2 linked regions of the Oryctolagus cuniculus genome follow. Each later gene encodes a partner of the first gene's protein in a complex. Links are inferred from orthologs where the notes say so. Each region holds a gene or a part of one and is shown in the gene's direction. Other genes may lie near its edges.

Region 1 (7,284 bases):
TCACTACCTGAATTGCTTTGATAATCTGGATAAAAGATCCAATCCAGAAAGGGAGGCAGAAAAATCAAAAAGAGGTATGAAAACCTTTTTAAAAATTAATGTGATATGGAAACAAGCTTTTTGCGCTCAAGTACAATTAAAACATGTCCTTCATGTTAATTAAGCAGTAGTTGACAGCTTAGGTGGAAGGTGGGAGCAATGTCGATGGCAGTGTAACTCCCTCCAGTGTGAGCCCTACCATTTCTAGATTGAAGTTCCTCTTTTACTTCTCTCTTCCCCCTCCTCTGCACCCACTTTGGGTGTAGTCTAGTCTCTGGATACTGTTTTAGTCATCCTTGTACCTCAGCACTTAACATGAATGTTCCATGTTTGTTAAACTGACTTGTCCCAGCTCTTGGGGAGTTCCCAGTCCCATAAAGTGTGTGTGGAACACAGGGTGAGAATAGGACAAGGTAGTGAGAGGTATCATACTCAAAAGTATAGATTTTGGACTTTATCTTTATTGAGATCAATATTAGTTAAGTGAGTTAGAGTGAGCACACTGCAGGGTGGAATCTAGGCTAGGGAAAATGGCCAGGGAGACCAGTGGCAACCTGACTGTGGCAGTGGAAGAGCAAGACTCTTGAAAAATCAGGATGTGAGAGATGAGTCAAAAGGTAACTCCAGGTAAGTGAATGTGAGATGAGATTAATTGTGGACATAGTGAGTGTGAAGTTATCTTTGGCAAATCCAAAGGTAGATGTCAAGAAACTAGTTGGACATGGAGGGATGGTGAGCTATGGCTTAAGAAATGAGACTCGTCAGTGTGGAGGTATTAGAAGCCACCGGACTGAATGAGATCACCCAGAAATTGAGACCAGAGACAGAACCACGAGGAACATAAACATCTAAGGCACAAATAGAAATCTTCCAAAGAAGCAGCACCCAGAAATGGGGAAGCAGACACAATAGAAATAAAATCAGGGAGAGAACCAAGAAAAAATCACTTCCACAGTTAGTGGTTGAGTTGTCAAATACCTCAGAGGCTGAGGCTTATGAAGTGGTCAGTGGCTCTGACTGAAGTTTTCTTAACCCTGAGTGAGGTCAGCGAAAAGAATGAGCCTAGGAAGGGTGGAGGAGAGGCCAGGGCCATCTTCCAGAGAGCCTTAGGCAAGCCTCCAGGCCTCTCTGATGCCCTCAGTGTGACCTACAAGAGACTGGACCATCGCTGAGAGGCACAAACCCCAGTGGTTCCAACTTTGGTTCTCTGATGCTTGGTGGTTTGAATTCAAAAACTAACTTCCCACTTGAGAGCCTGGGAAAGTCAACCTCCTGTGGGCCTGTTTTCCCACCATAAGAAAAAAAAATACAAAACTATCATAAAACTTTTTTTAAAAAAAGATTTATTTATTTGAAAGGGAGAGTTACAGAAAGGGAGAGATATCTTCCATCCGCGGATAGCTCTGGTTAGGTCAAGCCAAAGCCGGGAGCTTGGCTCCTCCCACGTGGGTGGCAGGGGCCCAAGCACCTGGGCCATCTTTGGCCGCCCTCCGGGGCACATGAGCAGGGAAGTGGCTCAGAAGTGGAGCAGCCCCAAACTTTTTTTTTTTTAAGTGTTGGTTACCACCGCCAGGCACAGACGCAACGCTCCTTAACGTGACCTAGAATTGCCGCCGCCCTGAGTCCCCGGGCGGGTGACTTGACCGCCTCAGACAGCCGGCTGGGTGTGAGGCTGACGAGGCTGGGGGGATGGACACTAGAAGCTGAAGGTGGCCGGGACAGCCTCTAATTAGGTCCGAGGGCGGGTCTCGCTTGAGGCGTCCCAATTTCTCCTCAGGGCGCAGCTGGCGGCGGGAAAGCCGCTCAGGTCGCCGAGGCCTGGATATTTCTCTTGGCCGAGAGCCCGCAGCCCGTCTCGAGGGGTTGCATTTCTGTCTCGATGAGCTCCCGGCTCTCTCTGTTTCCTCTTTGGCTCCCACTGACGGGCAGGACGCGGAAAACTCCACTTGGCGTTGCCTGGCTACCCAGCCTTCCCGCGCTCGCCTTGGCGCCTACTGCGGCTGCGCGAGCCGTCAGGGCGGGCCCCAGGGGCTCCTCCACGTGCGTGCGCCCTCTGCCGGCGACCAACGATCTTTCAAGTGCGCGTGCGCCTATCCACCAGGCCCCGCCCCTGGGCTGCCGGCGCGCGAAGCCGTTGGCCCCGCTCCCGACTCGCCCCTTCCCCTCAGAGGGCGGGGCGGGGCCTCCCCAGAGCCCGAGGCGGGGGGGGGAGGCGGGGACATGGGATGCCACACCCCCGCCCCGGTCCCTGTTTGAAGCCCCTCTACTCTTCATCGCTGGCCAATCCCAGCCCGCCCTGTCCCGAGCGCCGACCAATGGGAGGCGCGCTCGAGCTGCTTCCGGCTCCGCGCTCCGCTCGCCCCTTCCTCAGGTCTCCCCGCGACGGGCGGGGCTCGGGGGCGGGCGTCGGCCGCGGTGACGCGCGGCGGGCCGGGAGCCAATGAGGGGCGGGCTCGGAGCTGATGGACGGGTCCAGCGGCCAGTGGCGAGGCGCTGGCCGCACTTCCCGTCGAGGAGAGAGTGTAATATGGCGAAGACCTACGATTACCTGTTCAAGCTGCTGCTGATCGGGGACTCGGGGGTGGGGAAGACCTGTGTCCTGTTCCGCTTCTCCGAGGACGCCTTCAACTCCACTTTCATCTCCACCATAGGTAGCGGGGCTGGGGAGCGGCCGGGGGCGCCGGAGGCCCGGGCCGGGCGCGCCCCTGAGGGGCTGGGGCTGAGGCATCGACCCTGGCCGAGGGGCAGCGGGCTCTCAGGGGGTCTGAAGGGAGCCGAGCAGCTGGCTCCGCCGCGCTTCGCGGGTTCCCGGGCCGTGGTGGTGCTGGGGACCAGTGCCTGTTTGGCGAGTGGGTAGACTGAGGCTCCCGCCTCTCAGCCCGCTCCGTCGGGAGTGTCGGTCCGGGGCTGGGGTTTTGGCGCCCATCCTCTCGTGCCGTCCTCGCAGCCCCTTGCCAAGCCAAGTTCATCTGTGGGCGTTGTGGGAGGGGTCGGTCGTACAGAAGTGGATGCTGGGGCACTTGCGCTCTGCCAGCTGCGTGATCGCGCCCTCCTGGGGCTGCAAGTTAAGGTGTTTGTCACGAACCCATTTCGCGGATGCGGGATTTGAGGCTCAGGGTGGCCGGGGGACTTGTCCAAGGTCACACAACCTGCAGAATAAATGGCACGGATGAGACTTGAACCTCGATGCGTCTTGACAGCCCAGAGGAGCCACTTGGGAGCAACACTCCGACCCCCACCTCTCTCTCCTGCTTTTTCCCCTGGGACTGGACTTTAAGGACTGAGCCTCCTCCCTGGCCCTGGAATCGTGAGGGAGAGTGAGGAGCATTTACCCTGCCCCGCCCTCTATCCCACTCAAGGGTGACAGCCCCAGTGAGTGACAGCTGCCCGCCCAGGGACCTGTCATCCCCTCCCCCAAGGAGATGCAAGATACAAGGCTCCGTGAGAAGCCACAGACAGCACCCCACTCCCTATCACAGGGCCCAGGACTCCGTGGTTGTCCCACTGAGGGAACAGCGCTTCCGGCTGGGCCACCCCACGTGGCGGCTGAGCGGAATCCACTTGTCTTTTTCTGTCGGCCCTGCTGACTTCTCATCACCGTGCCACAAAAGCCAGCCCCTGCCCACGATGACAAGGCTGGACCCGGGAGGCACAGCCGTCCCACAGTGGCCTGCGAGCTAGGTAGCCCTGTTCAGGAAGCAGAGGGGACAGTCACCCAGTCCAGGGGTTGACCCCAGACTGAGGAAACTTAGGGAATGGCTTCCCCCCACCCCACCCCACCCCACCACTGCCACCACCACCATGTCACTTGAGCCACATCTCATTATCACCCGGAACTCCACCATGCTGGAGGTCACCATGCCTGCTTTCCTGTTGCTCTTTGCCCTGGAACAAGCACTACCCCTCTCTGAGCCCCGTGTCTTCAGATTAGAACTCCATACAATGAATGAACGGCCGCCCGTGGCCCAGAGCGACAATCTGGGGGAGACCGATTGGTTCCTGGAGTCGCCTCGCGTGGCGGGAGGTGGCACGGGAGCCAGGGTCCTGTCCTGTCCTGCCACACCAGTCTTCTTCCTGTTACATTTGAAGCCGCCTTAACGGGGCTCTGGCTTCTAGGCTTTGCTCAACCATGACCTTGGAGTTAACGGGCCTCGTAAAGTGTGCGCTTGCTAATTGAACCTCGCGTGTTCCTAGAACCCAGGAGGAGTGCAGGACAGAGGGCTGCTCTAGGGCTCAGGCGACTGAGCAGTGCATCTTGAGTTTGTGCAGCCCAGTGACAGGAGGTGCAAAGGATCCGCGCCCGACTGCTTTATCCCTGAGACAGAACTCAGGCACAGAGCCCTTGGATATTGGTATCGAGTGCCCCTCTGGGTTTTCTTAATAGATCGGGGATTGAATGGCTGTTCATTTGCTTCCCTGGGGTTACGTCTTGCCAAGGCCCATTCTTAGGAGCTCCATCCATCATCTGTGGTGTGAACTTGGCCCTGCGGCTCCCTGCGATCCATTCTCTACCAGCCTGGCTCCGTCCCCGCCATCTCCTCGGGGACCCCGCTCCGTGCCTTCTGCGAGACGGATGATGTTTGTGCAAGTGCCTCCCTCACCACGCGCGGCCACCTACACCCTGTGGCTCTGTGGCATGCCAGCCGCCTTCCACGGACATCTGGGCATCAGCACTGGAGCCAGGGCTTCAGAGCCGGCTCGGGTGCATCAGGAGGGGAGGTAGCGACGGCACGAGGCTGGGCGTTTTGTCCCTGTGACAGCAGCAAGGAAGCTGCGTGCAGCCCATTGCCTTGGCAAAGTTGCTAATGGGCAGAGTTCGAGTGCACGCTTGGGTTTGCAGCCACGAACCTGGAGCTCCATCCGGGTCTCCCATGTGGGTGGCAGGGGCCCCAGGCACTTGAGCCGTCTTTGGCTGCTGCCTTCCCAGGCGCATCCACAGGGTGTTTGGATCGGAAGCGCGCAGTAGCTGGGCCTTGAACCGGCGCTCATCCGGGATGCCGGCACCAGCCCCTTTGTAACAGCTTCAGTGAGATAATGGGGTACCGTACGGTGTCACCCACCAACCAGGTACAATTCAGGGGTGCTTTTCTGCACTCACCACAATCCGTTTTGCATTTTGGTCATGCTGGAAGAAACCCCCACCCTCCTCCGCCAATCCCCAGTCTCCCACTCTCCCCAGCCCCCGGCAACCCCGAACACACGCCCGGTGTCTGTGGGCTTGCTGTTGTGGACATTTCTGTCACAAGGTAGAAGAGGTGTGGCCTGGTGCGTGCAGTTTCTCTCGCTCAGCATCATGGCTTCCAGGGTGCATCCCTGCTGCAGCGAGTGTGGGCACTTTGTTCCTTTTTGTGGCTGGGCAGTATTCCACTTTGGGTTGGTCCAGTCACCGGCCGGTGGACCCACAGAAAGGTCTGGAGCAGAGGTTTGCTTGGTGACCTGGTTAGGAGAGCACTGGGGTGCCGGCTCTGAGGGCCCCGCAAAGGCACCCTTGGCAAAGGAGAATGAAGCAGGAGGTGGGGAAGGAGGAGGAGGTAAGGTCAGGACAGTGTCTTGGGAAGTGACCCCGGGGGAGGAGAAATTAGCACAGCTGATGGGCAGAGAGGGACTGGCATGTGCAAAGGCCCTGGGGCAAGAAAGGACATGGCCTGGGTGCCTCGGGGTGTGTGATGGAGCACCGTGCAGGGCCGTGTGGGACAGGGAGACAGGCACGGCTGGCGGCATTGGCAAGGGAGGAGACCAAAGACGTTGGCAGCCTGAGCTCCTGGGTGTGCCCACCATCTGTCACTCTGGGCAGCTCCCGTCGGCTCTGAGAGCCTCAGGCGCCCCGTTCTGTGAAAGGGGAGAGTCTCCAGATGCTTCCAGACTTGCTGGGGAGGAGGCAGAGGGCACACATCCCCAACAGCAGGCAGGTGAACCCCCAAGCGGAGGCAGGTGACCGTTCCCCCAGAAACATAGGTTGGCTGACCCCGCCCCCAGACAGCACCCGGGACAATGGGCTGACCGTGATGGGTCTTCTTTTATTCTTTTCTATTTCAGGAATCGACTTTAAAATTAGGACCATAGAACTCGATGGCAAAAGAATTAAACTACAGATATGGTAAGTGGTGCCCTGGGGCAGCCTCTGAACCCGGCGAGCGCTTGGAGCCAGGAGCCCTTGGTGCCTGCCCCTCCCCACCCCCACACCCCGTGACCTTGGCCTTCATCTCTTGGTGCCCAGGGCTGCCTTCAGGCTGTCTTCAAAAACTCTCAAGTGCTCTCCCCATCAGGGACCTGTGCGCTGCTGCTGTGGCCCGGGGGACTGTGTCCACACCTGTTGGGGACATCACCCCAGGCCCGCTTAGCTCAACCTTCTGTGTTGTTTTTTGTTTTTTTGTGTTTTTTTTTTGAGATTAATTTGAGAGACAAGAGACAGACAGAACTCCCGTCTGTGGGTTCACTCCCCAGATGCCAGAGCTGAAGCTGGGAGCCAGGAACTCCATCCAAGGTCTCCCACATGGGTGGCAGGGACCCAGGCCATCATCTGCTACCTCACAGGGGCCCTGCATGAGCAGGGAGCTGGAGTCAGGAGCCAGAGCTGGGATTCCAAGCCAGGCCCAGCACTCTGATGCGGACAAAGTCCAGGTCTGTGCCCGGGTGCGGAGCCGCCCTGACTGCACCTTTCCTTTGGAGTCCATCAGCTCATACTAGAGTGTAAAGGTCTACTAGCACTTCCTCTTTTTTCTCCTGGGGAAGCCCAAGCCTCGTTTCCTGGCATGCAGACCTGAAACCCAGTCCCCCAACACACACACACACTCACTCACACACACACACACACACACATACCCTGAACTGAAATTCAGCTGAGGCCAAGCCCAGTTGGGGAGACCCACTTCCACCCCTCAGAGCTGAGGGTGACTTCCCTGCCCCATAGAATTAGGGAAGTCGTGAGTGGCCAAGTCCCCAGCACGGGCGCCGACCCTGGTCTGCAGCCCGTTGTACTAGGGAGACCAAATTCAGAGTGTGCTGTGCCATGGGTAGGACTCTGTGCTGAACAGCGGGTCCCATGTCAAGAGTACCCAGGTTCAGTTCCCGGCTCGGGTTCCTGCCCCGAGTTTCCTGTTATTGCAGACTCTGGGAGGCAACGGTGACAGCTTTGCTCACTGCGTTTCTGCTACCTACATAGGGACCTGAATTGAGTCTGTGGCTCCCAGCTTCAGCCCCGACCGCTGAGGGGCATTTGATGGGTGAATCAGTGGATGAGAGTGC
Region 2 (7,432 bases), on another chromosome or scaffold:
TGGAATCGATGCTGTGGTGTAGTAGGCTAAGCCTCCACCTTCCACCTGCAGTGCCGGCATCCCATACAGGCACCGGATCACGTCCTGGCTTCTCCACTTCCAGTCCAGCTCTCTGCTGTGGCCTGGGAAAGCAGTGGAGGATGGCCCAAGCCCTTGGGCCCCTGCACCTGTGTAGGAGACCCAGAAGAAGCTCCTGGCTTCAGATTAGCTCAGCTCTGGCCATTGTGGCCATTCAGGGAGTGAACCAGCAGATATAAGACCTTCTCTCTCTCTCTCTCTCTCTCTCTCTCTCTCTCTCTCTCTGTAACTGCCTCTCAAATAAATAAATAAATAAATAAAACCTTTTTTTAAGTTTTGGCATGAGGATGTTGACATCCACACTGAACTTTTTCTCGTGATGCACATTTTCCGTGAACTTCTGGAAGCCCCCCCGCATGGTGCTTGTGACTGCCTCATTTCCCGTAACAGCGCCTTCAAGGTCTGTCCCCCCTGGAGCCCACGTCAGAGTCCCCTGCCTTTGCAAGGCTGAGTCATATTCCTGTCATGGGAAGGCCACATTCTGTGTTTCCACCTGTCATCAGTGGCCACGTGATGCCTCCACCTCTCAGTGTTATGCATGGTGCTGCTGTGAGCACAGGCGTGCACGTATCCGCTTGAGAGATGTCTCCAGTCCTCCTGGTTCCATACCCAGAAGTGGTGTTGCCGGGTCTTGCTGTAATTCTGTTTGCACATTTTGAAGAACCTCTGTGCTGTTTTTGCCGCAGTCCCACCATGTCACGTCCCATGCAGCAGTGCATAAGGGTCCAGAGTGTGCACATCCTAACGCGTGTTTTCTTTTCATTTTCAGCCTATTTATTCGAGAGGTAGACAATGACAGACACTCCCCAAATACCACAAAGGAAGCCAGAGTCAGGAACACAACCCGGTGTCCCGCATGGGCGGCAGGCATCAGGAGCTGGAGCTGGGAACAGAACCCCAGGCCCTCCAGTGTGACACAGGACCGCAGTCCCAACCAGACACTGGCTCCTACCATAGCATCCAAATGGGCACGAGGTGGTGTGTCATACCGATTTTTTAAAAAGATTTATTTATCTGAAAGGCAGAGTTACATACAGAGAGAAGGAGAGGAGGAGGAGGAGGAGGAGGAGGAGGAGGAGAGAGAGAGAGAGAGAGGTCTTCCATCCGCTGGTTCACTTCCCAATTGGCTGTCACAGCCAGAGCTGCGCTGATCCGGAGCCAGGAGCCAGGAGCCTCCTCTGGGTCTCCCACATGGGTGCAGGGGCCCAAGGACTTGGGCCATCTTCCACTGCTTTCCCAGGCCATAGCAGAGAGCTGGATCGGAAGTGGAGCAGCCAAGACTAGAACCAGCGTCCGTATGGGATGCCAGCACTATAGGCGATGGCTTTACCCACTACGCCATAGCGCTGGCACCTCCTCATATCAGTTTTGATTTGTGTTTGCCCAATGATGAGAGGTGTTGAGCATCTTTTCTTATGCTTGTTAGCCATTTGTACATCTTTGGTGAAATTTCTACCTAAGCCCTTTGTCCATTTTTAATAGGATTATTTGCAATGTGTTGTTGAGTTGTAGTTCTTTATGCTATGTTTATGTCAGATACAATTTGCAATATTTTATCCTATCCCACAGGTTGATTTTAAAGTATATTTCTTTGAAAGGCAGAGTAAGAGAGAGAGAGATTATGATGTACTGGCTAACTCCCCAGATATCTGGCTGGGCCAGGATTCAGGAATTCATCCGGTTTCCTAGTGGTTAGCAGGGACCCAAGCTGTTTAGTCACTTCCTGCTGCCTCTCGGGGTGCGCATCAGCAGGAAGCCAGAATCCGGAGCCGGGGCTTGAACTCGGGCACCCAGGTGCAGGGTGCAGGCGCCCCACCCAGCGCCCCAACCACCTGGATCTACTCTTCTTTCGCTGCCTGTGCTTTCGGAGTCAATCCCTGGACTCGCTGTCGAATCTCACATCACAAAGCGTCTCCCCGAGGTCTTCTTAGTTCTTACATCCTGATCTGATTCATTTTAAGTTTTGTTTTGTTTGTATAAGGTGAGGGTCAACTCCATTCTTTTGCATGTGGACCTCCAGTGTTCCCGGGATCATTTACTGAAAATACATCCCTCGCTGAGTGGTCTTGGTGCCCTTACTGAATGCCATTTGACGGCGTGCGCGTGTGTGGGGGGTTGGATTTAATTCCTTCCTTCCTTTGGATGGCTGGGTCACGGTCCACTGATGGACACACACTGACCTAGGGTGACACTCACACTCAGCTGGGTCACGGTCCGCTGATGGACACACACTGACCTGGGGTGACACTCACACCTGGCTGGGTCACGGTCCACTGATGGACACACACTGACCTAGGGTGAGTCTTGCACTTTATCTCAGTGCTGTCTGCCCTGAAAGCTATGTGTTTGGTTCGTCCACGTTGCTTTTGGTTTTGTTTAATCCTTGGACCATCTCCACTGCGCCCCCAGAACCTGTCCTTGGACCATCTCCACTGCGCCCCCAGAACCTGTCCTTGGACCATCTCCACTGCGCCCCCAGAACCTGGGTGTGGAGAAAACCCCGTGCGCCTCCCAGGAAGGAAGCGGGGACAGACGCGCCCCGGGGCTGAGCTTTCTGCCTACGACAAACTCCAGTCGCACCTGAAGAACCCGGGTTCTGCCAGCCACGCCGCCTCTGCTTCCTCCTCTGCGGCGCACACCCGCAGCCCCCCAGGCTGGAGGAAGCAAACGATGAAGGCTCGGGTCGGCGCCGGCTGCTTCTAAGTGCTTGGCAGACCACACGCACGATCCGGTCACCTCCCAGGTTCCTCGCTGCCCCCATTCTACAGAGCCGTACACTGAGGCCCGGGGGCTCGCCACGGTCACGGCGTGAGATACGTGGGGGAACCCGGCCCACGGCGGCCGCACCCCGGGGCTGCTGACCCTGGCCGGGGCTCCCAAGCCCGGGAGCTTCGCGCACCCCCATCCTTGCGCTCAGAAAATAGCCCTGCACCAGAAACCCGGACCTGTAGTCGCGGGGCAGCAAACCGCACGGCTGGAAAGCCTGCGCGCGCAAGAGGGCGTGGAAACTCCGCCCGCGTCGCCGTGGAAACGCGGCTTCCCCGCACCGCGCGCGGCTCGCGGGGCGGGGGCGGGGGCGGCCGCCGTAGTCCGCGCTCGGCTCCCCGCCGCGCCCGCGTCCCGCGCGCTCCGGACCGCGCCGTGGGGCGCACGCCGCCGCGCGCCCAGCGTCCGGCCCGAGCGGCGCCCCGCGCGGACCCACCCCCGGGCCGCGCCGATTGGCGGGCAGGGTCTCCGCCCCGCGGAAAGTTTTCGGTGCCTGGAGGAAGTCGGAGTCTGGCAGGCGAGCGGAGCGCAGCGCCGGAGGCCGCGGGGGTCCGGGCGGGCGGACGGCCATGGAGGAGCCCCCAGTGCGCGACGAGGAAGAGGAGGACGGCGAGGGGGACGAGGCCGGGCCCGAGGGGGCGCTGGGGAAGAGCCCCTCGCAGCTGACCGCGGAGGACGTGTACGACATCTCCTACGTGGTGGGCCGCGAGCTGATGGCCCTGGGCAGCGACCCCCGGGTGACGCAGTTGCAGTTCAAAATCGTGCGCGTCCTGGAGTTGCTGGAGGCGCTGGTGAGCGAGGGCAATCTGACGGCGGAGGCGCTGCGCCTGGAGCGGGACAGCCTGCGGGCGGAGGTGGCCGGGCTGCGCCGGGAGCTGCCCCCGGCTCGCGGGGAGGTGAGTGGGCCGGGGGTTGCGCGGGGTGGGGTGGGGTGGGGTGGGGCGCTCCTTTTCCTTCCTGGCCAGAGACCCCCAGAAGCGTCCCCCGCCGGTGGTCGGGCCACCCAGAACAGACTGAGCGTCCCAGGTCGGGGGTCCGAGGTCCGCGCAGCCTGCAAGTCCGGGGGATGCGGACACATTGCACGCTGAGAACCTTTGACCTGGAGACCTTCGCGTGCCCGTGGCCACAGAGCAGGTGTGTAGGGTGCGTGTGTGCGCGTGCACACACCTGCAGCGGAGTGCTGCAGGCAACGAAACACAAGGGGAGCCCTGAGGGTGCGGGCTTGCGGGTAAGCCGCCGCGGGCCCTCCCTCCGGTGCCTGCGTTCGGTTCCCAGCTCCCCCAGTTCCTGCAGACCCGGGAGGCAGTGGTGATGGCTCCTGCCGCCCGCTTGGGAGTCCTGGATTCAGTTTCTGGGCCAGCCCTGGGTGTCTGAGGGATTTAGGAAGGTGTTCGCTCTCGCCCATACATGTTTTGATTTTTCTTAAGAAAAGAAGGGAGTACGGGTGCGGTATGGGGGGATCTCCCGGATGTTACATTGACATACAGAAGCCAGGCACAAAGGAGAAACTACCCATACATTCATAGAAAATTTCAGAGCCGGCAAAATAATCTTTAGAGAAGGGGGGAGGGGAAGGAGCAAGCGGGCACTTGATGGACAGCTAGAAACTTCCGTATCTGCAGATGTGGTTGTACTGGTGTATGAAGTGTGTCAAGAGCCAGCAAGCTGGGGCCGGTGGGCGACGTGTAGTGGGGCGACGCCCACACCCCATATGGGTGCCTGTCCCAGTCCTGGCTGCTCCACTTCCTTTTTAAAAATAAATAAATAAATAAGGACTTGTTTATTTGAAAGGTAGAGTTACAGACAAAATGAAAGTGAGATGGAGAGAGAGGTCTTGCACCCGCTGGCTCAGCCCCCCAAATGGCTGTGCCAGGCCAATGCCAGGAGCTTCTTTCAGGTCTCCCACACAGGTGCGGGGACCCAAGCACTTGGGCCATCTTCACTGCTTTCCCAGGCCACAGCAGAGAGCTGGATTGGAAGTGGAGCAGCCGGGACTAGAACCGGTGCCCTATGGGATGCCAGCACTGCAGGTAGAGGCTTTACCCCCTATGCCACAGTGCCGGCCCCAGTTTTGTTTTTTGTTTTTTTAAAGATTTATTTATTTGGCCAGCCCTGTGGCTCAATAGGCTAATCCTCCATCTGCAGTGCCGGCACACCGGGTTCCGGTCCCGGTCGGGGCGCTGGATTCTGTCCCGGTCGCTCCTCTTCCAGGCCAGCTCTCTGCTGTGGCCAGGGAGTGCAGTGGAGGATGGCCCAGGTGCTTGGGCCCTGCACCCGCATGGGACCAGGAGAGGCACCTGGCTCCTGGCTTCAGATCAGCGTGGTGTGCAGGCCTCAGCGGTCATTGAGGGGTGAACCAACAAAAAACAAAGACCTTTCTCTCTGTCTCTCTCTCTCACTGTCCACTCTGCCTTTCAAAAAAAAAAAAAAAAAGATTTATTTATTTGAAAGCCAGAATTCCAGAGAGAAAGAGAGAGAGAGAGATCTTTCATCCACTGGTTCACTCCACAAACGCTCACAGCTGCGGGGCCGGCCCAAGCACTCACCCATCTTTGCTTCCCGGGCTCATCAGCAGAGAGCTGCATCGGAAGCAGAGCAGCCAGGACTGCAGCAGGCTGTTGTGGTTTTTCTTCTGAATTGTAACACCTTGTGAGTTTCACTGATCTCTTAGTCACAGGTGGGGATTCTGAGCAGCTCCCGGACGTGGACTGTGTCGCTTCAACCCACCCCATTGCTGAACTCACTGTGCTTTGGTGACTGTTAATTTGCATGAGGACTTACTGCTGGGAAAACGGGGGTCAGGGTGTGAACTCAGATTCTGCCTTCACTGCTCCGTGACATTGGGCCCTGTCTGTTGTGCTGGTGTTTGGTGAGGGAGCTGCCGTAGGCCAGGCACGGGGCATGCAGGTGAGCTGGACAAGGCCACTACCCTCGTGGACTGCCACCCAGCAGGAGAGGTGCAGACCCAGCAGTGGGCGTGAGAGGCGGCAGAGAACAGGAGTGGGGTCCCTGAGTGTCCCAGGGGAGCGTGGGCGTCCTCAGGGGCTGCCCCGAGTCAGGCCGACACTGGTACTCGTGGGTGGGCCTCTGCTGCGGCATCTGTCCTGTGGGGTGCCCGAGGCTCATGGCTAGCAGCCTGGCTTTGCAGAGGCCACAGAAGTTGAATGCTTGTCCAGGAAGGTGCGGCTGCGTCCAGCGCCACCCTCGCCCCGGTGCCCTGGCAGGAGGAGGTGGAGGCAGCCCTTGGGGCCGGGTCGCCAGGTCATTTCCTGTGTGGTCTGCCCGGGGCCTGGTCATTTCCCGTGCGTGGCGACTGTGGGAGGCAGCGGATGAGGTGGCACATTTTCTCCCCAAACCGCGGTCTGAAGACAGCACGAGTTAAAGAGAAGGAAGGTCAGTGCCACTGACAGTGAACACACACCTCGTTCTCTGTTGCGCTCTCTTTTCTGGCTGTGGTAAAATGCATCTCATATGAGCTTCGCCATCTCAGCCGCTGGTGTGTGCACAGTTCAGCAGTCTTCCATCCACTGGTTCACTCCCCAAATGGCCAGAACAGCCAGCTCTGGGCCAGGCAGAAGCCAGGAGCCAGGAGCTTCTTCCTGGTCTCCCACATGGGTGCAAGGGCCTAAGGACTTGGGCCATCTTCCTCTGCTTTCCCAGGCACATTAGCAGGGAGCCTGGACTCGAACCGGCGCCCATGTGGAATGCAGGGGCCACAGGCCCAGGACATTCTCGTTGTGTTGTGCTGGGATCACTACCATCATCCCCAGAACCTTTACTTCTCTTAAAACTGAAACTGTAGCCATTGAATAGCAACTCCCAGCTTCTGCGCCTCCCGCAGCCCCTCCAGCCTCTATATTTTACTTTCTTCTTTTAATCAACCACCATTGCTTCACCACACATTCTACTGAGATACAAAGCTGAATTTTTAAAATCATACCACACGAAGGTGTTCAGCTCTTTCCCGCCAGTCGACTCACCACCTCAGTGGCGTACACACAGAAGGGAAGCACCCACTGCACCTTCATTGTGTGTCCCCCAGTCAGGTTCACAGCTGCTTTGGCGTGGAGACAAAATCCACACAAGGGTAAAATCCATCGATACAGCGGAGTCTGCATCTGGGCGTCTCAGAGTGAGGCTGGCCGGCAGCCGTCCCAGGGCATTCTGAAAGCAGGTGCACACAGCTGAGCTCTGCCTTTCTTTTTTCAAAGAGAGGGAGAGAACGAAAGGTCTTCCATCCACTGGTTCACATCCCAAGTGGCCACGGTGGCCTGGGCTGGGCGGGCCTGATGCCAGGAGCCAGGAACTCCATCCTTGGCAGAAACCCAAGCTCCTGGGCCGTCCTCTGCTGCCTTCTCAGGCGCATTAGCAGGGAGCTGGATCGGAAACGGATTCTCCGTCCTCGGGGTGGCGTCTTAACCCACGGTGCCATAGTGCCGGTCCCTGAGCTCTGCTTGGCGTCTTTAAGAATTTAACACAGAGATGTGGTCGTGGGATCGTTGTCCAGCTGGCACTGGCCTGTTTACCTGACATAGGTCCTCCAGAGCCCATCTGTGCTGTGGCATGTGTCTGAATCCCCTCCCTGGTA

What was found. The genes of interacting proteins can lie anywhere in the genome.
Region 2: the proteins of RAB8A (region 1) and RILPL2 are in contact, whole or in part, in a crystal structure (PDB 6SQ2), measured with the Homo sapiens proteins. The link is inferred for Oryctolagus cuniculus from reciprocal best matches to the Homo sapiens genes RAB8A and RILPL2. Residues at the interface, in NP_005361.2 of Homo sapiens: Ile41, Gly42, Ile43, Asp44, Phe45, Lys46, Ile47, Lys58, Trp62, Phe70, Ile73, Tyr77; in NP_659495.1 of Homo sapiens: Leu135, Leu138, Arg139, Leu142, Gln143, Arg145, Asn146, Lys149, Ser150, Leu153, Glu157.

The regions. Positions count from the first base shown.
Region 1 is NC_091447.1:64,695,400-64,702,683, forward strand, and holds the start of RAB8A (ras-related protein Rab-8A), read left to right. Parts: upstream 1-2,518; 5' UTR 2,519-2,566; coding exon 2,567-2,690; intron 2,691-6,075; coding exon 6,076-6,136; intron 6,137-7,284. UniProt on the Homo sapiens protein: The small GTPases Rab are key regulators of intracellular membrane trafficking, from the formation of transport vesicles to their fusion with membranes.
Region 2 is NC_091452.1:5,916,768-5,924,199, forward strand, and holds the start of RILPL2 (RILP-like protein 2), read left to right. Parts: upstream 1-3,304; 5' UTR 3,305-3,413; coding exon 3,414-3,740; intron 3,741-7,432. UniProt on the Homo sapiens protein: Involved in cell shape and neuronal morphogenesis, positively regulating the establishment and maintenance of dendritic spines. Plays a role in cellular protein transport, including protein transport away from primary cilia.